Oryctolagus cuniculus: one gene and its partner. Each later gene encodes a partner of the first gene's protein in a complex. Links are inferred from orthologs where the notes say so. Each region holds a gene or a part of one and is shown in the gene's direction. Other genes may lie near its edges.

Evidence for each region. The genes of interacting proteins can lie anywhere in the genome.
Region 2: the proteins of FGF23 (region 1) and FGFR4 are in contact, whole or in part, in a cryo-EM structure (PDB 7YSW), measured with the Homo sapiens proteins. The link is inferred for Oryctolagus cuniculus from reciprocal best matches to the Homo sapiens genes FGF23 and FGFR4. Residues at the interface, in NP_065689.1 of Homo sapiens: Leu32, Gly33, Ser35, Trp36, Gly37, Tyr43, Ala45, Thr46, Ala47, Arg48, Asn49, Ser50, Ile75, Arg76, Ser77, Glu78, Asp79, Ala80, Gly81, Val83, Val84, Tyr93, His117, Gln118, Thr119, Asn122, Gly123, Tyr124, Asp125, Leu158; in NP_001341913.1 of Homo sapiens: Glu156, Lys157, Lys158, Leu159, His160, Ala161, Val162, Pro163, Asn166, Asp240, Leu242, Glu243, Arg244, Ser245, Pro246, Lys272, Val273, Tyr274, Ser275, Asp276, Ala277, Gln278, Pro279, His280, Ala308, Asp309, Ile310, Ser312, Gly336, Asn337.

What each region holds. Positions count from the first base shown.
Region 1 is NC_091440.1:105,067,769-105,077,891, forward strand, and holds the end of FGF23 (fibroblast growth factor 23), read left to right. Parts: intron 1-2,464; coding exon 2,465-2,568; intron 2,569-4,327; coding exon 4,328-4,768; 3' UTR 4,769-6,592; downstream 6,593-10,123. UniProt on the Homo sapiens protein: Regulator of phosphate homeostasis. Inhibits renal tubular phosphate transport by reducing SLC34A1 levels. Up-regulates EGR1 expression in the presence of KL. Acts directly on the parathyroid to decrease PTH secretion. Regulator of vitamin-D metabolism.
Region 2 is NC_091437.1:63,113,646-63,123,768, forward strand, and holds the end of FGFR4 (fibroblast growth factor receptor 4), read left to right. Parts: intron 1-1,286; 5' UTR 1,287-1,320; coding exon 1,321-1,411; exon of another isoform or gene 1,412-1,425; intron 1,426-2,011; coding exon 2,012-2,275; intron 2,276-2,364; coding exon 2,365-2,445; intron 2,446-2,545; coding exon 2,546-2,712; intron 2,713-3,338; coding exon 3,339-3,462; intron 3,463-3,921; coding exon 3,922-4,112; intron 4,113-4,214; coding exon 4,215-4,353; intron 4,354-4,668; coding exon 4,669-4,862; intron 4,863-4,954; coding exon 4,955-5,100; intron 5,101-5,188; coding exon 5,189-5,310; intron 5,311-6,472; coding exon 6,473-6,583; intron 6,584-6,674; coding exon 6,675-6,865; intron 6,866-7,186; coding exon 7,187-7,309; intron 7,310-7,390; coding exon 7,391-7,461; intron 7,462-7,593; coding exon 7,594-7,731; intron 7,732-7,968; coding exon 7,969-8,074; intron 8,075-8,153; coding exon 8,154-8,300; 3' UTR 8,301-8,770; downstream 8,771-10,123. UniProt on the Homo sapiens protein: Tyrosine-protein kinase that acts as a cell-surface receptor for fibroblast growth factors and plays a role in the regulation of cell proliferation, differentiation and migration, and in regulation of lipid metabolism, bile acid biosynthesis, glucose uptake, vitamin D metabolism and phosphate homeostasis.

The sequences.
Region 1 (10,123 bases):
CCTGGTAGCATAATGCATGCACACACAGAGTCAACCTTGGAAACCTCAAAGGCTCACTGGGTACTGACAGGCAGTGAAGGGATGGGGAGTTCTCTCCAAATTCCAAGCAGGTTCCAGAAGCAAAGGAGATATAGCAGTATTCAGAGTCACTATTCTTGAAGCTGAGTTTGATCTAACAGCATATATTTGAACTAAATCTGGATCTACTTGATGTGACCACAGTCCTGCTCCTGGTAGTCAGTGGGTATTTAGTAGGACCCACGATATGTCTGGAATGATACAGAGAGGGAAGACAGAGCTCTTCAACAGCCTCCAGTCTGCCATCCCTTCTGCCTGCCAGTGCCTTCTCGAACTTCTAGGCAACACAGGTTTGCACCTCTCAGGGGAAGCCACCTCGGCCTCCTCTGCAAAGCTGTCTGTGATCTGAGCCCAGCGTTGTGGTGCAATGGGTTTAGCCACTGCCTGCAATGCTGGCATCACATGAGTTCCAGTTCTAGTCCTGGCTGTTCCACTTCTGATCCAGCTCCCTACCAATGCACCTGGAAAGCCAGCAGATGATAGCTCAAGTGCTTGGACCCCTGCCACCCATGTGGGAGACCCAGAAGGAGTTCCAGGCTCCTGGCTTCAGTCCGGCCCAGATCTGGATGTTGCAGCCATTTGGGGAGTGAATTAGTGGATGGAAGATCTCTCTCTCTCTTTCTCTCTCTTCCCTTCCCCCATAACTCTGCCTTTCAAACAAATAAATAAATCATAAAAAGGCTACATGTGATTTAAAATGCATGAGAATAGATGATGACACATTATTCTGACTCCCATAGAAAGAAAGGGTAGAGAACAGCTAAGGAATATTTGTTTGTTTGTTTTTTAAATTTATTTATTTGAAAGTCATAGTTACAAAGAGAGAGGAAGAGACAGAGAAAAGAGAGATCTTCCATCTGCTGGTTCACTCTCCAGTTGGCCGCAACAGCTGGGGTTGGGACAGGCCAAAGCCAGGAGTCAGGAGCTTCTTACCAGTCTCCCATGCAGGTGTAGGGGCCTAAGCAGTGCTTTCCCAGGCCATAAGCAGAGAGCTGGATCAGAAGAGGAACAGGGCTGCTGTTATGGTATATGATGCTGGTTCAAGTCCCGGTAGCTCCACTTCTGATCCAGCTCTCTGCTATAGCCTGGGAAAGCAGTAGAAAATGGCCCCAGTGTTTGGGCCCCTGCACCCATGTAGGAGACCTGGAAGAAGCTCCTGGCTTCGTATTGGCGTAGCTCTGGCCATTGTGGCCATCTGGGGAGTGAACCAATGGATGGAAGACCTCTCTCTCTCTCTCTCTCTCTCTCTCTCTCTCTCTCTGCCTCTGCCTCTGCCTCTGCCTCTCTGTAACTCTGCCTTTCAAGCAAATAAATAAATCTTTAAAAAAAAAAAAAAAGAGTAGCCAGAACACGAACCAGCATCCATATGTGATGTTGGCTTCCCAGGTGGAGGCTTAACCTGCTAAGCCACACCACCAACCCCCTACTGGGATTCAGATGGACAGCATTTGGCAGCTTCGTGGGTTTCCCAGGCAGCCGCTATGCCCCTAGACTCAGTACAGGTAATCTTTGCCCTGACATGGCTGTGACCTTTGAGCTTGGAACCAGTCTCCACGGAGGCAGAGGGCGAAGGGGTCAGACTTAAAGCTACTGTCAATTATGTATGGTGTAGGAAGCATGAATGGGTTTCGGGCCCTGGCTGGAGACCAGCCTTTGAGAGGAGACACTGAAAGACCACAAGGGGTTGCCCATGGAATGGGAACTACCACATGAGAAAGGACCAAGGACAGTCAGGAAGACCCAAGAAAAATGTTCCATCCAGCCTTGATAGCCATTCAACGTGGAAAGATAAGGCCTCTGCTCCCCTGTAGCTCACTGCCAAGGAGCTAAAGACTAGGTATTGACTAGTTAGAGCCCAATGGGTAGGGCTCCTGCTTAACATTAGCAGAGAAGGGAGAGAGAGACTTACTCAAATACAGTTCTGGACACGTGATGAGTGCTGTGGAACGCATTAGACTATTACACCGCTGGCTGGGTGGAGAACCGGACTCTACCTCCAGGCTGCACCCTTGACAGAGATCTCAGCACAGCCTTAAAATTACAAACGCAGAAGGCTTGGAAGAACATGACCACTACCACTGACAGGAAGAGGCATTAGCCAGGCAACAGGGGAGACAGAGAGGGTACAGGTGCAGAGAGAGAAACAGGTGTACAGCACAGGTGAGAGAATGCTGTGAGTTCAGAGTGCCCCACACAGCAGGAGGTGGGTGTGGCAGTGAGTGGGTGTGTGTGAGATTGAGACAGAGAGAGAAGTGGAGAGAGAGCATTGAGTGACGCCATCATCAATCTTTGACACCAACACAGGAAGGTTTTGTGAGGGTGCAAGTACCTGAAGGTGGGAATTGGAGGTGCAAACAGTCTCTGACCAGGACGCTCCTCTCCATAGGTGCCCTGATGATCAGATCGGAGGATGCTGGCTTCGTGGTGATAACAGGTGTCATGAGCAGGAGGTACCTCTGTATGGATTTCAGAGGCAACATTTTTGGATCGGTGAGTGTGTGTGAGTGTGTGTGTGTGTGTGTGTGTGTGTGTGCGGGGAGGCAGCGGTTATGGATCTGCATTTTCCAATAGTTATCTATTTCGGGAAAACAGAAAACATGGACTTTTCTGGCTTGAAGCTTCCTTTTGCGGGTGCCTTGCTCATCTGTTCTCAGCGAACACTTTTTTGTCTGATCTGAAATGTTCACATTTATACAACTGGGGTTTGAACCGCAGTCTGTCTGGCCCCAGAACCCAGCCACTCGGTCCCTTGTCTGCACTGCCCATGGGTGCCCATTCTTGTATCTAGCACAGACCCCTGTGTATAGTTGTAGGTCTTAGAGATATGTGAAAGCATGCCATAAAGCACATTAGAACGGGCAAGAAGCTAATGGTGTCTGCTTGGACCTGTTGCAAGCTGCTACCTTAACCAGTCCCCTCACTTTCCCAAACTTCAGCTTTTTCACTCAGAAAAAAAAATGTGGTGGAGTGGCCCACATGATTAGGGAGCACCTCTGTCACAAGTCTGATCGCTGGTCATTCAGATTGGCAAGCAAGAGGTTCCTCAAAGTAAAGCCGGCTGGCACGTCCCAGTGGATTTTGAGATAGTGAAACAGTGGAACTGCTTATTTCAGGATTCTCTTTACCACCAGGCATACTCAGAGAGACGGCGCAAAATGGGGATTTTCTGTTTGGGTACCTGCTAAGTCCCAGTTCCTACAATATTATGTAGCCAGAGTGGATCTACATTTATTTATTTACTTACTTACTTATATTTAAGAGAGAGAGCACACACAAGTGTTACCATCCATTGGTTCCCTCACCAAATGCCTTCAGTAGCCCTTAGCCAGGAGCTGAGAGCTCATTTGGGGTCTCCTGTGTGGGTGGCCGGGACCCAATGACTTGAGCCGTCACCACTGCCTGCCAGGGTGTGCATTAGCAGGAGGCTGGAGTCAGGAGCCAGAGCCGGGCACTCCGATATGCGATGTGGGATGTGGGATGTGGGATGTGGGATGTGTCCGATCCTAACTGCCTGCCCGGAAGGACACTCTTTATCTGTGGAACATCAGAACATCTAGACGAGCACAGCTCCTAACTGTAAAACATTTACTGTGTGGAGTTTGAAAGTTAAATGAAATACACGTAAAGGCCTTCATAGGCACTCAGTAAGCCTCACTCAGTACTAGATGCGGAGTGAGTACTGGAGCCCAGCCAGCTCTCAGTAAAGTTCTTGCCATTGATCTCCAAGCCACATGCTCTCTCTGATGTCACTACTCTCACTCACTTTTGATTGTGCAAACCCCATCCAGGCAAGGACGCAAGCCCATCAGCTTCCAGCCAGGAGAGGATTCAAAAAGGTAGAGAGTAGGGGAGGAGGAGGTGACGTGTAACAGCCCTGGCTCCAAACCCTGAATGCAGCCATTGGTGTCAGCTCTCTCTGGGGTGCTGCCCAGCCCAGGTATCAAAGCCATGAGCTGTGCACCCTAGCGGCGGCCACTCCCTGGAAGTTGGGACTATATTCAGTGCTTGGGCAACCTAGAAGGCATCTGTCACCATCACTGTCCCCGAGAGGGGACCCAGGAGGTTAAACAGTGCTACTTAATGGTGTGTGGACTAAGTCAACAAGTCAAAGCTGGACACAAGAGAGCCTTCTGGGCCTTTGGGCCGGTTGGCACACAGCCTAAGGCCCCAGTGTGTGTGTGTGGGGGTAGGGTCTGGGGTCCCAGGCCCACATCCCCAGCCTTCACACACTTCCCTCTTGCCTCTCCAGCATTACTTCGACCCCCAGAACTGCAGGTTCAGACACAGGACGCTGGAAAACGGGTACGACGTCTACCACTCTCCGGAGCATCACTTCCTGGTCAGCCTGGGCCGGGCCAAGAGGCCCTTCCTGCCAGGCATGAACCCGCCACCCTATTCCCAGTTCCTGTCCCGGAGGAACGAGATCCCCCTGATCCACTTCAACACGCCGAGGCCGCGAAGGCACACCCGGAGCGCCGAGGACGCCTGGGAGCAGGACCCGCTGAACGTGCTGAAGCCCAGGTTCCGGCTGACCCCGGCCCCAGCCTCCTGCTCACAGGAGGCCCCAAGTGCTGAAGACAATGGCCTGGTGGCCAGCGACCCCTTCGGAGTGCTCCGGGGCAATAGGGTGAACATGCACGGGGACAGGATGGGCCCGGAAAGGTGCCACCATTTCCCCAAGTTCATCTAGGGATGCCAAGGGAGCCTCATTAACTCTCCTTTAGCAAACTAAACTCTGTATAGGGACCAGCTCCCTCCCTTGCCCCTCGATGGATGGGGAAGGTGGTGTGGAATCAGCTGCTGCTCTCCAGTCCTTTCTCCGAGAGTCGTCTCACCACCTTCCTCACCCCTATAACCCTACCTTTCTGAATGAGCAACCCCAACAGGTAAATGAGAAACAGGGACTCCTTCCTCCCCATTCCCTGTCCCCCTTCTATATCTCTTCCATCTCTTCCCTCGGCCTCTCTTCTTACTCAGTTTGGCATTAAGGTAAAGCAATAGCTTGGCGAGCTCAGTAACGCGCAAGGTGCAGGGCGGGAGAGAATTCCGGCAGCTTCTCCATGGATCTGAGGGTATGTGTTCCTGCCCTGATCCTGTTGGCATTTGGGTCTGCAGGACTTGCTGCTAACAGCTGGATTGGGCAAGCTGATGAAAACACGGGTCTCCAGCCTTTGTTCTTCCTCAGGCATCTCTGGAGAAGAACTGTGGGAAAAGGCAGCATCTAGGGTGCCTGGTGTCCAAAACCTCGCCGGGGAACTCAGCTTCCCTGCCGGGAGAGAGGCACCCTTTACCCCTCTCTCTCCCTCTGTGCAGCCAGAGCCAGAAAGCAAGAAATGACCCTGCTCCCAACAGGCTTGGGAGATCGCCTCACCTCTGGGCCCCATCTTTGCCCTTAGTGAATCTGGCCCAAGGACCAGCTTTCGTACAGGGTCATGAAAATCTAGATTGGTGTTACAAAATGGAAAAGGCATTCAAACTCTCCCAAGAGGCACTTTGTTAAGCCTCTCCTTCCAGACTCAATAATCATCCATCCTGGATGAATTACAAAAAATGGGACTGGGGCAGAGGCCTTGAGACGCTCGGGCTGCTCTGGGGTAGGCCGTCTGTGGACCAAAGGATCGTGTCCCTTTTCCTAAGTGAAGTGGCATTGAGGGCTCATGGGTAGCGGGGAGAAGTCCAATAACCAGGGGACTAAATTGTAGGAATTAGGAAACGATCTTGACCATGATTTCGTTCGTGCTGTGGAATAGCAGCTATTGGATTACTTTAAACACTGCTAGGCAGACACACCTGGGTCTCAATCCACTTGGAAATTTTGCGGGCATTAACTGAAGACAGCTTCCTGTCCCAGGAGCCTCAGTGTTGTACTGAGCAGAACAAAGCCTCAAGTAGGGATGCCCAAGAGCTGGGATTGACGTTGGCCCTACAAGGGGGCCTTATTTTCCTACCTCCATTTTAGCACCCACCTAAACTACAGAATACACCTGAAACACAGATCCCAACAACAGCTTCGTGCCAGTCACCACTGTCTGTAACTGCCACCATATAGGCCAACAGAGCCCTTGTCTACTCGCATTGGACAACTGCTTTTTTCCTGATAGTTTTTAGCTGAACTTGAAGGGCCAGTTCCTCTCCTGAAACACTAAAGCTGTGTATCATAGTATATAGCCATGCCTAGCAAATACTTCAATAGTGTTCATTTCCTGTTGGGGATACTATCCTGGATGCTAGCTGGTAGAGGCTCCCCATACTGACAACTAGGTGGAAAGAATCCCAAAAGGACTCGGTAGAAAAATGATTGCAATCCTACAACCTCAACACCACCATGAGGGGTTCTTCTGGGCAGAGCCAAGGTGGCCCCTATCACTTCTTTGATGTCCCTTAGCGTGTGGCAATATTTATTTATTTATTTGGAAGAATGTTGCCTGTCACTCCGTATTTATATATATTTATGAAAATGTAACCCTACTTTTTTTCTTCTGTTTAAGAGAAAAATAAAACTCATCTCAGCTTCTCATAGTGTCTGCTTTTCTGTATTACTCATGAAAGCATGTCGGGGCAAGGGGATAAAAAGGATGGTGGGGGTGGGGCAGGGCTGTGGCATAATGGGTAAAGCAGCTGCCTGCAGTTCCGGCATCCTACATGGGTGCTGGTTCAAGTCCCGGCTGCTCTGCTTCTGATCCAGCTCTCTGCTATGGCCTGAGAAAGCAGTAGAAGATGGTCCAAGTGCTTGGGCCCCAGTACCCATATGAGAGACTGCAAAGAAGCTCCTGGCTTCAGATTGGCGCAGCTCTGGCTGTTGCAGCCAATTAGGGAATGAACCAGCGGGTGGAAGACCGACCTTTCTCTCTCTCTCTCTCTCTCTTTCTCTCTCTCTCTCTCTCCCTCCCCCACTCTCCTTCTCTCTGTGTAACTCTTTCAAGTAAATAAATAATCTTAAAAAAAAAAAAAAGAAAGAAAAGAAAGAGGAAAGAAAAAAAAGAAACTGACTTGTTTCGGAAGTTTAAAAAAAATTTTTTAAAGGGATGGTGGGAGTGGAGCATTGGGGAAATCCAGAGAAACCAAAATTGGCATCGGAATTTTTAAATATTCAGATTTTTTCCCATGTATAAGCACACTAAGAAAACAAGTTTTATTAATCCAGATAGAATTATTGAAAACAAGGAAATTTTACCAGTATTAGACTTTTGATCATTCTGTCCCTAAAGTAATTTCTTTAAAGAGAGAAATCATCTTTATTTGAAAAATGCACACTGATACAACCACAGCAGTGTCTCGTAAACTTAAGACATCAGCTGAGTTGCTGCCCTGTGAGACCTGGTAGGATATCACCCAGTTCAGGAGTCTGCGCACCCTGTCCTTCCAAGGCCGGGGTTCTCAGAGCTCTCTCTTTGGTCTCCATCAGACTAGCAAAACACAGGATGCAAAGACGCTCCTGACACACTGACACGGAATTCACAGCCCTTCAAGCCATAGTTGGCTTTTCATGACCTGGTCTTAGCTATCAACTCCTCCCTTTTAATAATTAATGTAAAAGTACATAGTGGGGCGGGCACCGCGGCTCACTAGGCTAATCCTCCACCTAGCGGCTCCGGCACACCGGGTTCTAGTCCCAGTTGGGGTGCCGGATTCTGTCCTGGTTGCCCCTCTTCCAGGCCAGCTCTCTGCTGTGGCCAGGGAGTGCAGTGGAGGATGGCCCAAGTGCTTGGGCCCTGCACCCCATGGGAGACCAGGAGAAGCACCTGGCTCTTGCCTTCAGATCAGCGCGGTGCACCGGCCGTGGCGGCCATTGGAGGGTGAACCAACGGCAAAGGAAGACCTTTCTCTCTGTCTCTCTCTCACTGTCCACTCTGCCTGTAAAAAAAAAAAAAAAAAAGAAGTAGTACATAGTGGTTCACCACTTTGGTATTCAAACCACCTTCTGACCAAGTCTCCCAAGGGAATTTTCTTCTTAAGTCTCCCTTGAGACTTGCTGACGCTCTCCATTCTAAGGGCACAGGAGCACCATCCCCAGTAGACGCTGAAACGCTGTACTTCTTTGATCACACAAAACAGAGTTTTCAAAGGCTGGTTGATGTTCCTTCCGGAGTTCTCTCAAGGGATGGGCATTTGGCATAGTGGTTATTGGATGCCTGCATCCCATATCAAAGTGCCTGGCTCTACTCCTGATTCCAGGTTCGTGTTAATGCAAGTACTTGGCAAGGTTCCTGAAACCCACACACCAGAGATCTTGACTGAGTTCCTGGCTATTGGTTTTGGCCTGGCCCAACCCCAGCTGTTGAGGGCATTTGGGTAGTGACACAGCGGATGGGAGATCTCAGTGTGTCTGTTGCTGTCTCTCCCTTTGCGTGTGTGTCTCTGCCTCTCAAATATATAAATATAAATAAGCAGGAATATAGTGGGTAAAGCCATCACCTGCAGTGCCGGCATCCCATATGGGAGCCAGTTTGAGTCCCGGCTGCTCCACTTCCGATCCAGCTCTCTGCTATGGCCTGGGAAAGCAGTAGAAAATGGCCCAAGTGCTTGGGTCCCTGCACCTGCATGGGAGACCCAGAGGAGACTCCTGGCTCCTGGCTTCAGATCAGCTCAGCTCTAGCCATTGCGGCTACTTTGGAAGTGAACCAGTGGATGGAGGATCTCTCTCTCTCTCTCTCTCTCTCTCCCTCTCCCTCTCCCTCTCCCTCTCCCCCCCCCTCTGCCTCTATATAACTCTTTTAAATAAATAGTAAATAAATCCTTTACCAAAAAAAGGCAGAAGGGCCGAGTGATTCTTCATTTTGTTTTTGGCCCACTGGACCCAAAAACCCATAGAAATGGAGCAGTGACAAATAAGCTCTTGGGAATAAACAGGCCTTCATCCCCTTACAGCGGGAGGATGAAGCGATGAAGAAGAAAAAAAGAGGTACTGCGGCCATTTCTCTTCCACAGGCTTCCGGGGTTCTTTTGTTTCTTCAGGAAAGCCATCCCTGACTAAAGAAAGGAAAAGCAGAGCCTTTAACACAAAGCAATAGGTGGGGTGAGGATGGTAGGGGGTAAGGGAACAGAAATGTCAATGTCGTGAGTGTGACTCGTGTGTGTGTGTGTGTGTGTGTGTGTTCAGTTCTATATATTTCAAACTGACTGCTAGAGGCTTCAACAACCTCACCATGGGCAGATTTTCCAGTGTTTAAAGCCCAATCTTGGCCAGCACTGCGGCTCAATAGGCTAATCCTCCACCTAGCGGCTCCGGCACACCGGATTCTGTCCCGGTTGCCCCTCTTCCAGGCCAGCTCTCTGCTGTGGCCAGGGAGTGCAGTGGAGGATGGCCCAGGTGCTTGGGCCCTGCACCCCATGGGAGACCAGGATAAGTACCTGGCTCCTGCTATCGGATCAGCGTGGTGCACCGGCCGCAGCGCGCCAGCCGCGGCGGCCATTGGAGGGTGAACCAACGGCAAAGGAAGACCTTTCTCTCTGTCTCTCTCTCTCACTGTCCACTCTGCCTGTCAAAAAAAAAAAAAGCCCAGTCTTTTTCCTGTCTACATAATTACAAATCCTTGCCAAAGATGTCATCACAACACCAATATATATTTATACGGAGATTTACTGTTTATATAGATCTTTCTTTAAAAAAAAAGATTTATTTATTTGAAAGGCAGAGTTACAGAGAGGCAGAGGCAGAGAGAGTGAGGGAGAGAAAGAGAGAGGTTTTCCATCCGCTGGTTCACTCCCCAGATGGCCGCAATGGCCGCAATGGCCTCAGCTGCGCAAGGAGCTTCCTCCTGGTCACTCAAGCAGGTGCAGGGGCCCAAACACTTGGGCCATCTTCTACTGCTTTCCCAGGCCATGGCAGAGAGCTGGATTGGAAGTGGAGCAGCCAGGACTCGAACTGATGCCCTATGGGATGCCGGCACTGCAGGTAGAGGTTTCACCTGCTAAGCCACGGCAGTGACTCCTATATAGATCTTTCTTGCATTATAACTCATCCAACATTGAGAATCACATAGGTTCCTCTTCTAGTCATGATGGAGTAAATGCTACCCAGATCTGCTCTCTTGTCAAAACTATA
Region 2 (10,123 bases), on another chromosome or scaffold:
GGATGAAGGGCACGGAGGCGCCGGGTTTTGAAAGGCGGTGGGTTCCGTGCTCGTGAAGGGAGATTGGCCAGGGCAGAGAGGGGGCCTGGGAGACACACGAGCCGCGGGGACTGCTTCCTGCAGGGTGCAGGGAGCCTTTAACCGACGGAGGGGGCACTTGACAGACGTGTGTTTCCCAAAGCCCTTGCAGAGGCTGAGAACAGAGGAGGTTTGCAAAGGCCCAAGCAGACACCACCGTGGCCTGCCCCGGGGAGGGACAGGAAATACAGAGAGGGCTGGGAGGGGGGGACCCGGCTGCAGAGAGATGTGGTGGGCTTCCAGGAAGGCGCATCTGCAGACACCACTGACACCTGGCTGGCACCCAGCCCCAGGGAATAGCCAGTGGCTGCCTGGGACCACAGCCTGTCCCCTTGCTTGGTTCTGAGTGTTCCTTTGGGGGGACAGAGACGTGCTCAGTAGCACTGGGAAGAAAGTGACCAAATGAGATGGGTGTGCACCTCGTACCTGACAGGACCAGAGCTGACCGGCTGAGGGCAGACCAGGGTGACAGGTGACAAGAGGGGCGGGGAGGACATGCCAGTATGCCACGTGCCTAGTCCCCACATATATCACCGCTTTTATCTCAAAACAGCCTGGAGCGGGACAGCCCAGGACTTGCAAGCTGGTGGGAGCCGAGACTTGAACTTGGTGCTGACACTTTAGAGTCTACAGAAACTCCTGTGTGGGGTTGCGGGGCTTCCGAATGAGGCCCTCTCCCTGCTCCACGTGGGGAGTGCTGCCTTGTTGGTGCAAGCACCCAGTTGCTAGGCATGGGTGCCAGGAATACCCTAGGGGTAGGGGTCAGCCCCAACAACATGCAGCTGCTGACGTTTGGCCTGCTATCACATTTCACTTTTTTTTTTTTTTTGGCTCTTCAGCAATAAATTTCTTTATTCAGCAAAAAGTAAATTATGTGTGCTGAGAGCGAACAGCAGATATTTCTCCATTCTCTGCCTCGCTCCAAGGAAAGAATCCCCAAACTGCTCTTTCTGTGAACTTGTGCCAGGGTCTCAGCAGGACCCAGGCAGAGCAGGAAGCCGAGCCCAGCTCCCCCTGCACCAGCAACCAGGGGGAGGCCCTGGGCTCCGGCAGCGGCAGCAGCAACAGAGCTGGTTCCAGTCTCTGCCTTGCCACAGCCGGGCTAGGGGCTTGGACCAACCTGCCTCAGTTTCTTCATCTGCAAAATAGGGCAATAGCGCTGGCCCAGACGCACGTGTGGCAGCTGCTCTTTTTGCCCCCTGTTCCAGGAGTTCCAGCCTGAGTCCTGGGAGCTGCAGGAAGATGTGGGTGCTACTGGCCCTGCTGGGGGTCCTGCTGGGGGCACCTGGGGCTCCAGCCTTGTCCCTTGAGGCTTCTGAGGAAGTGGAGCTGGGTATGGCCCCAAAGGTGGGAGAGGGTCGCAGGGGTGGGAAGCGTGAACCTGGGAGGGGGCTGCTGGCTGAGCAGAGCCGGAGAGGGTCCCAGCCCAAGCCCTGAGAAGGCGGTGGCAGGGCAGGCCTCAGCCTCTGAGACTCTGTGTCTGGCTCCCAGCAAGCGGCCACTATCTATCACTGCGCTCCAGAGGACGGGCCTTGCAGGGCGCTGGGCCCTCAGCTGGGCTGCAGAGCCGGGGGTGAGCGCTTGGCTGCGTGGGTGTGTGTGTGTGTGTGTGTGTGTGTTCTGTGCATCAGTGTGTAGCTTGGCGGCCCAGGCAGCACGTGTGGCACGTATAGCATGTGCCTTTGAGTGTCTGTGTATGTGTGTGTACGTGTGTCCCGAGTGTAGCATGTCCAGCATGCGTGCCAAGTACTTGTGTGCGTGTGGCCCACCTCGGCGCTGTGGCGTGGGCCCACAGCTGCGTGCGGAGGAGTGGCATGTCCAGCACGTGTCCTTGGGTGCCCGGGCCCCACGTGGGCAGCATGTTCTTCATACGCAAGGGGGCCGCCTCCCATCGGAGTGGCGGGGCTCACTGCGTTCTGTGCTCGGCCCACAGAACCCTGCCCAGCCCCCAGCCTGGAACAGCCCGAGCAGGAACTGACCGTGGCCCTTGGGCAGCCCGTGCGGCTGTGCTGCAGGCGGGCTGAGCGGGGCGGCCACTGGTACAAGGAGGGCAGTCGCTTAGCACCTGCCGGCCGGGTGCGGGGCTGGAGGGGCCGCCTGGAGATTGCCAGCTTCCTGCCCGAGGATGCCGGCCGCTACCTCTGCCTGGCTCGAGGCTCCATGACGGTCCTGCACAATCTCACCTTGGCTGTGGATGGTAAGAGGGGCTGGCGGGGGCGGCTGAGGTCCCCGGGGAGAGAGACTCCCTCTCTTGGTCCTCAGATGCTTGCTCTGTCCCTGACACAGACTCCTCGGTCTCCAGTGACGATCCTGAGGACCCCAAGGCCCACAGGGGCTCCCCGAACAGGCACAGTTACCCTCAGCAAGGTCGGTGTGAGGCTTCCAGGACTCGTGTCCACATCGCCCCATCTGGTCACTGAAACGAGGGGTGGGGGGCACTCAGTACGCCCACCTCCTCCCCCCCCAGCTCCATACTGGACACACCCCCAGCGCATGGAGAAGAAACTGCATGCAGTGCCTGCCGGGAACACCATCAAGTTCCGCTGCCCAGCCGCAGGCAACCCCATGCCCACCATCCGCTGGCTCAAGGACGGACAGGCCTTCCATGGGGAGAACCGCATTGGAGGGATTCGGGTGAGGCTGTGGAGTCCCAGACCATCTGCTCCCAGACTTCATTTCCCCCCGGGCCCCTGGCACCTGTGAATCTAATGTGGAAGGCAACTGGGAAGCACCAGGCTTCAGACTGGGGCGATCCGGCTACCCCACCAAGTGCCTTCCCCGCTCAGCAACCCCAACTGTGCGGCTGGAAGAACCCCGGGCCAGCAAGCCTCAGGACGCTTTGGCATCTCCTCTCTCTCTTTAAGATTGATTTATTTGAAAGGCAGAGTTACAGAGAGGTAGAGAGAGAGAGAGGTCTTCCATCCACTGGTTCACTCCCCAAATGGTCGCAATGGCCAGGGCTGCGCCTGTCCAAAGCCAGGAGCCAGGAGCTTCTTCCAGGTCTCCTGTGCGGCCTGCACAGAGGAAGCTACAGCTCAGAGAGGGCAATCACTCCATGCTCAGGTGGCCCAGCGAGGGAGAGGCAGACTCAAAAGTCTCCCACCGCAGGCTCTCAGGTCCCCCAGGCCTTCTCCTGTGTCCCAAGATCTACACCCTTGGCCTGACCTCAGAGTCTAAGCTTGTGGACAAGACGCAGCCTCCTCGTGCCCTGTCCCCTCTGGGAGATGGGGGTTCCATGGCGGCCCCTTCCTCTGCCCCAGCTGCGCCACCAACACTGGAGCCTGGTGATGGAAAGCGTGGTGCCCTCGGACCGGGGCACGTACACCTGCCTGGTGGAGAACCCTCTGGGCAGCATCCGCTACAGCTACCTGCTGGATGTGCTGGGTGAGCGCATGGGCGGGGGGAAGCCGTGCATGGGGGGCAGGGCAGGTAACACAGACTGGGCCTCAGCTGGGGCAAGCAGCTCAAAGTGACCAGGTGGCCCAGAGGGTGACACCCGGAGTCAGGGGGTCTGCCCAGAGCGGGAATGAGAAGAGCAGGGGGGCCGAGAGCTGCAGCACAGCTAAGGCACCAGAGTGCAGGGGTGCAGTGCATTTGCAAGGAGATGCCCGTCTGAGGTGTGGCATTTACGGGGGACCCGGCCCTGGAGGGTTTTGAATGCTAGGCTGAGAAGTCATTCTTCACCCAAAGGTAGCAGGGAGCCATAGAAGGTTTAAGTAGGGTAGCGGGCGCTGGCCACGGTTTGAGCTGCCTGTTAGGAAGGGCCTTCCTGGAAGAGGCAGGGGAGCAGGGTGCCTGTCCGGGTGCCGCTGCTCAGGGTTCACGGCCCGACCCGGCCCCCAGAGCGCTCCCCGCACCGGCCCATCCTGCAGGCGGGGCTGCCGGCCAACACCACGGCTGTGGCGGGCAGTGACGTGGAGCTGCTGTGCAAGGTGTACAGTGATGCCCAGCCCCACATCCAGTGGCTGAAACACATCGTCATCAACGGCAGCAGCTTTGGCGCCGACGGCTTCCCCTATGTGCAAGTGCTGAAGGTGCATAAGCCCTCCCCTCCTGCCACCCATGGCTGGGGAGCGGGGGACCCAGCGGCCGCCCCAAGCCCTGCCGTCACCCCCTAATGTGTCCCTCTTCTCCAGACCGCAGACATCAACAGCTCCGAAGTGGAAGTCCTGTACCTGCGAAACGTTTCGGCCGAGGACGCGGGCGAGTACACCTGCCTGGCCGGCAACTCCATCGGCCTCTCCTACCAGTCGGCCTGGCTCACCGTGCTGCCAGGTGAGCGCCTTAGGGGGCCGGAGCAGGCTGCCATCTTACTTGGTCCCTATTGTGGTCTCTGGTGAATCCGTGAGGTCTGGGCTGGGGGGTGTGGCCCATGGGTTTATGGGTTTCATTCTGCACGTGGCTGTCTGTGGCACCTTCTGGGGTATAGGTGTTTGAGATGGGTCTGACTGCCGCTTTCTTAGTATGTGTGCATGTATGTGTGTGTGTGCATGTGCAAAGCCTGAGACAGAGAGCGCAGGGCTGGCCAGCCTGACCACTCACCAGTCCATTTGTCCATCTTTCTCTGTGTGCATCTGTCTGCGCGGGCAGAGGAGGACCCCACATGGACAGCAGCCTCACCCGAGGCCAGGTACACAGACATCATCCTGTATGCCTCTGGCTCTCTGGCTCTGGCTGTGCTCCTGCTGCTGGCCGGGTTATACCGAGGGCAGGTGCTCCACGGCCGGCGTGCTCGGCAGCCCGCCACGGTGCAGAAGTTGTCCCGCTTCCCTCTGGCCCGACAGGTACCGTGCTCAGCCCCAGCCCCATGCCCTACCCGCCGAGTCAGGGCCTCAGCCTGCCTGCAGCAGGCTCAGCCACGCCTCCTACTTTCCAGTTCTCTCTGGAGTCGGGCTCCTCAGGCAAGTCGAGTTCGTCCCTGGTGCGAGGCGTCCGGCTCTCCTCCAGCGGCCCCCCCTTGCTCGCTGGCCTCGTGAGTCTAGACCTCCCTCTGGACCCGCTGTGGGAGTTCCCCCGGGACAGGTACACTGAGCCGAGACAAGGACGGGCACGCAGCCTCTCTGCTGGTGTGCCACCTGGGCTCTGAGGGCTGGCCTCTCCGCACACCTAGGTTGGTGCTTGGGAAGCCGCTGGGAGAGGGCTGCTTCGGGCAGGTGGTGCGTGCAGAGGCCTTCGGCATGGACCCTGCCCGCCCTGACCAAGCTAGCACCGTGGCCGTCAAGATGCTCAAGGGTGAGTGTGTGTGGAGCCTGGGGGCAGGTGCACCTGTGGGGCTCACAGTGGAGAGCAGGGGCCTGGGGAGGAGGGTAGGCTGGGAGAGGCCTGCGACCCTGCCCTTGGCCCGCAGTCCAAGTCTGCTCTGACGCTGGCAGGTCGCTTTCAAGTCCGTCTCCCCTTGCGTCACATGGGGTGAATAATAGGGCCCCTACCTCCCGGCCCACGGTTCTTGGCGAGTGCCTGGCACATGGTCAGGGCCCATCAGATCCTAGCCGTCGGGGCAAGGATGATGGTGAGGATTTGGGGTGACTGAGTTCTGTATCCTCCATCAGTTCTGCCAGTGTCAGCCTTGGCCACAGGTCTCCTTGAACCTCGCATCCCCCATGGTCCCCCAGACACACCTGCAGCCTTCCCTGGGCCCTTCCCAGGTCTGGCCTCTGTGCCCAGCACCCTGGAAGAGCAGCACTTCTGCGTAAAGTCAGTGCCAGACCCTAGGAGCTGCCCACTGGAGCCTTTTACTGCCTTCCCCCAGCCCCCTCTCCCAAGGAGCCCAAGCCGCTCCTCTCCCCCCTCCGCCCTCCTCCCTCCGGCCCTCTTCCTCCCTCCTTCTCCTGTCTCAGAGCAGCTGGGGCCACCTGGCACTTTCTGGGAGGCAGGGATTGGGAAACAGCCTTGTGATAGTGGCGTGCGTGGGGGTGGGGGCGGGGGCGGGGGCGGGGGCGCTGCGCCACTGACCCGGGGCCGCAGGTCAGTTCCGGAGCCCGGCCGCTGGTCCTCAGCCTTCTCTCCAGCCGCTCCCCTCTCTGAGCTGTGCTGGCAGCTCCCAGAATTCCCAGGCCGGATGGATGCCAGGCCCTGGTCAGACAGAGGCCTCAGGGCGCCAGCCTGCTTCCCACCCCCGCTGAGGGACCAGCGCCAACCCTTCCCAAGGCAGCTTCCTTCCTGTCCCAGCTCTCCCCGTCTCCCGTCTCCCGTCTCTCTCTGGAAGGCCTCCCTCTTTCAGATCCTCAATGCCATTGCATCCTGAGAGGGAGGGCTGATCCACTGTTGGGTTCCGCACGAGTGAACCCTGAGGTTCCGAGAGGTTACGCACAGCCTGGTGGGGATGCAGCCGCAGAGCTGCCCCTCCCCCGCCCCGCCCTGAGCAGCTAGATGGCAGCTTCCCCACCCATTGCAGACAACGCCTCAGACAAGGACCTGGCCGACCTGGTGTCTGAGATGGAGGTGATGAAGCTGATAGGCCAGCACAAGAACATCATCAACCTGCTAGGCGTCTGCACCCAGGAAGGTGCGGCTGGGCGGGGCTCGGGGCACGGGCAGGCGCTGGCCGGCAGAGCCGCCTGTGACCTCAGTGGCCTCTCTGTGCCCCTCCCCGCCAGGGCCCCTGTACGTGATTGTGGAATGTGCGGCCAAGGGAAACTTGCGGGAGTTCCTGCGGGCCCGGCGGCCCCCGGGCCCCGACCTCAGCCCCGAAGGACCGAGGAGCAGTGAGGGGCCACTGTCCTTCCCGGCCCTGGTCTCCTGTGCCTACCAGGTGGCGCGCGGCATGCAGTACCTGGAGTCGCAGAAGGTGTGGCCGCGGCCATGCTCTGGCCCCTCTGCCCTTGCCCCCCTCATCTCCCCTTTCCCGTTGCCGCCTAAATGTCCCCAGAGCTTCACACCCCTGCCCTTGGCACTGCGCAGCTGACACTTCCTGTCCCCATTTGGTTCATCCTGACCCAGGGGCAGGGCTGGGGAGAAGACCCAGGCCCTGAAGCCAGACGGCTTAGCTCTCCCTTTCCCAGTCACAACTTCCCCATCTGTAAAATGGGTGGAAGATGCATGTGCCCAGCTCCCAGCCATGTGTTCCTGTAAACCCAAGCCCCGTGTCACATGCCTGCCTTTCCCCCAGTGCATCCACCGGGACCTGGCTGCCCGCAACGTGCTGGTGACCGAGGACAACGTGATGAAAATCGCCGACTTCGGGCTGGCCCGAGGCGTCCACCACATTGACTACTACAAGAAAACCAGCAATGTGAGGGCGGCGGGGGCTGGGGGCTGGGGGCCCAGGCCTGGGGCTGGCGGGACTCCACCAATGCCACCCCTCTCCCTCCAGGGCCGCCTGCCTGTCAAGTGGATGGCCCCCGAGGCCTTGTTTGACCGAGTGTACACACACCAGAGTGATGTGTAAGACCTGCGACCTGAGGTCGGGGTGCCTGCCAGGGGTCATCACCCCCAGCCCTGTGTAGCCCACACCCGCTGGGCCCCCTGCAGTGGGCAGGGGAGCTGTGCCCTGCTGATCCTCTGTCCTGCCTCCAGGTGGTCATTTGGGATCCTGCTCTGGGAGATCTTCACACTTGGGGGCTCCCCGTACCCCGGCATCCCCGTGGAGGAACTGTTCTCACTGCTGCGGGAGGGCCATCGGATGGACCGGCCCCCACACTGCCCCCCAGAGCTGTGAGGCTGGCCCACACTCCCCACCCTCCAGTCCTCAGCCCCTGCCTTGACCTTGGCTGGTCCTGAGGGCAATGCCTCCTCCCTCTCTTCCCCTCCCTTCCCCCTCCTCCTCCTGGGTCCAGAGGGGAGGCCTAGGCGGGGTCCCCGCCCTTCCACTGGCTGGCCCCACCCACCGCTCCCCCTCCCAGGGCCACGAGGCCCCTCCCCCAGGCCTGAGGCTGCTCCTAACCTCCCCAGGTACGGGCTGATGCGCGAGTGCTGGCACGCGGCGCCTTCCCAGAGACCCACCTTCAAGCAGCTGGTAGAAGCGCTGGACAAGGTGCTGCTGGCGGTCTCTGAGGAGGTACTGCCCCCTGCCCGCCCCGAGCCTCCTGCTGCTGCCCACTGCGCTTGCGCAGGCTCACGTGTTCTGTTCCCCGCAGTACCTCGACCTCCGCCTGACCTTTGGACCCTACTCCCCCTCCGGAGGAGACACCAGCAGCACCTGTTCCTCCAATGACTCTGTCTTCAGTCACGACCCCTTACCATTGGGGCCCAGCCCCTTCCCCTTCCCTGGGGTACAGACGTGAGCAGGGGCCTCCTGGCTCAGCCACAATCTAAGCACTGTTTGACCTTGGCAATCCGGGGGCCCTGACCTTGGGGTGCCATTCCAGATCTCTGACTCCACTCTGGGGAGGTCGGTCTTTAGCCCATGGGTCCAGTTGAGGCTTCCCGCGCTCTGGCCCCGGGTTCCCAGCCCAGAGTTCAGCCCTGGGCATGAGGCCCTGCCCTTGGGGTTCGGCTGCCAATGTCCCAGTAGCCTGAGTGTTGGCGTCCTGCTTAGGGGTTTGGCTGGGCCTGGCTCCAGACTGCTCTTCTGAACCTGCTTCCCAACAGCAACAGAGGTTTGGAGATCGGAACCCTATGTCCCCAAGCGCCCCCACCCCGATCTTCCCAGCTCTCGGTGGAAGGAGCATTGACCCCTGTGCCCCTGGGAGGCTGGGAGCCGAAAGCACAGACACAAATGGCCTTTTTATAAATTATTGTTTTTTGAAATAAACCTGTGTATGCCTGGTGTCTTTCCCCGAGGGGCATGGAGGGAGGGGGTGCAGGATGGAGGCACTCCTGAGTGACACAGACCCAAGGGGCTGAGTGCCAGGCCTCGGGTTTCCAGGAGTCCATATGGGCCTTGGCCTTGGCCCCGCCCATCCTATGCCCTGCCCACATATGTGTGCATGCATACGTGCAACTTGTCTGTCCCCAAGGGAGCTGCTGGCTTTCCCCCCCCCACCACCTGTTCAGCATTAACCAAGCTGATCAGCAAAAACAGGACAACCTGAAACCCTGCCCCAGCCCTGCCGGCTCGCTCCCACGCGCTGGTGGTGGGGGCCGTGCCCACCCCCCGCACTCCCGGCCTGGCCAGTCTCCCAGCAGCAGCTGGCTGCTGCCTGGCTGGACTGCAGCTGTCCCTGCTTGCCTGGCCCTCTGTTGGGGAGGCCTTAGGGGCCCTGTTCTAAGAAACCCCCTCTGATGGCTCAGCTTCCTGGGACTCAGCCTGGACCCTTCCCTGGCTCTATCCTGCTGCTCCCTAACCTGACCATGCTGCACTCCCTCCTCTGGGTCCGCACACTGCCCCCCCCCCAACACCCTCCGGCTTTCCATGTCCCAGACTGAACCCCTCCTCTTCCAGGGCGCCCCCGTCTCAGAGCAGACATCCGGCCACAAACCACGGAGTTCCCTGACCACTTCCTTTACCCCAGGAGCTCTTATTTCCTAACGGGGTGGGAAGAGCCCTGGACCTGGAGCCAGGAAGTCCCGATCCTGCCGCTTCCAGTGTCCAGCTGTGGTGCTGAGGGCGGCACCGTCACTTCCGCCCCGCAGGAGCAGGGCGCAGGGTTTCGGATGAACAAGGCTTGGGTGCGCATGCGCTGGGAGAGGCGCCATGCAGACTCCGTGTGAGCTGTTGGTGCACTTGTCCCAGGACTGGGCAGCCCCACCCCCAGCCCGCTCCGCAGCCCAAGGCCTCTGGCCCTGCTTCTCCTGCTCCCACGCAGGTGGTCCAGAGGCTCTCTCAGACTTTCTGGCCGAGCCCCACTCGAGCCAGGAGTCTCATTGGTGGTCACTGTTCAGTGGCCCAGCCAATCCCAGACACGGGGAGCCCTTGGCCCTTACCTGGGGCAGAAAGGGTCAGTGTGTGAGGTGATGGAATATTATCCATCCCTGAAAAAGAATGGAATCCTGTCATGTGGCAACATGGATGGAAGTGGAGGAAATAATATCAAATGAAATAAACCAGGCACAGAAAATGACCCCTCATGTCCTCTCCCATATGTGGAAACCAAGAGTTTATCTCAGAGTTGAAGAGGATAGAATAGTAGCTAGCTACCAGGGGGCCAGTGTTGTGGGAGCATGG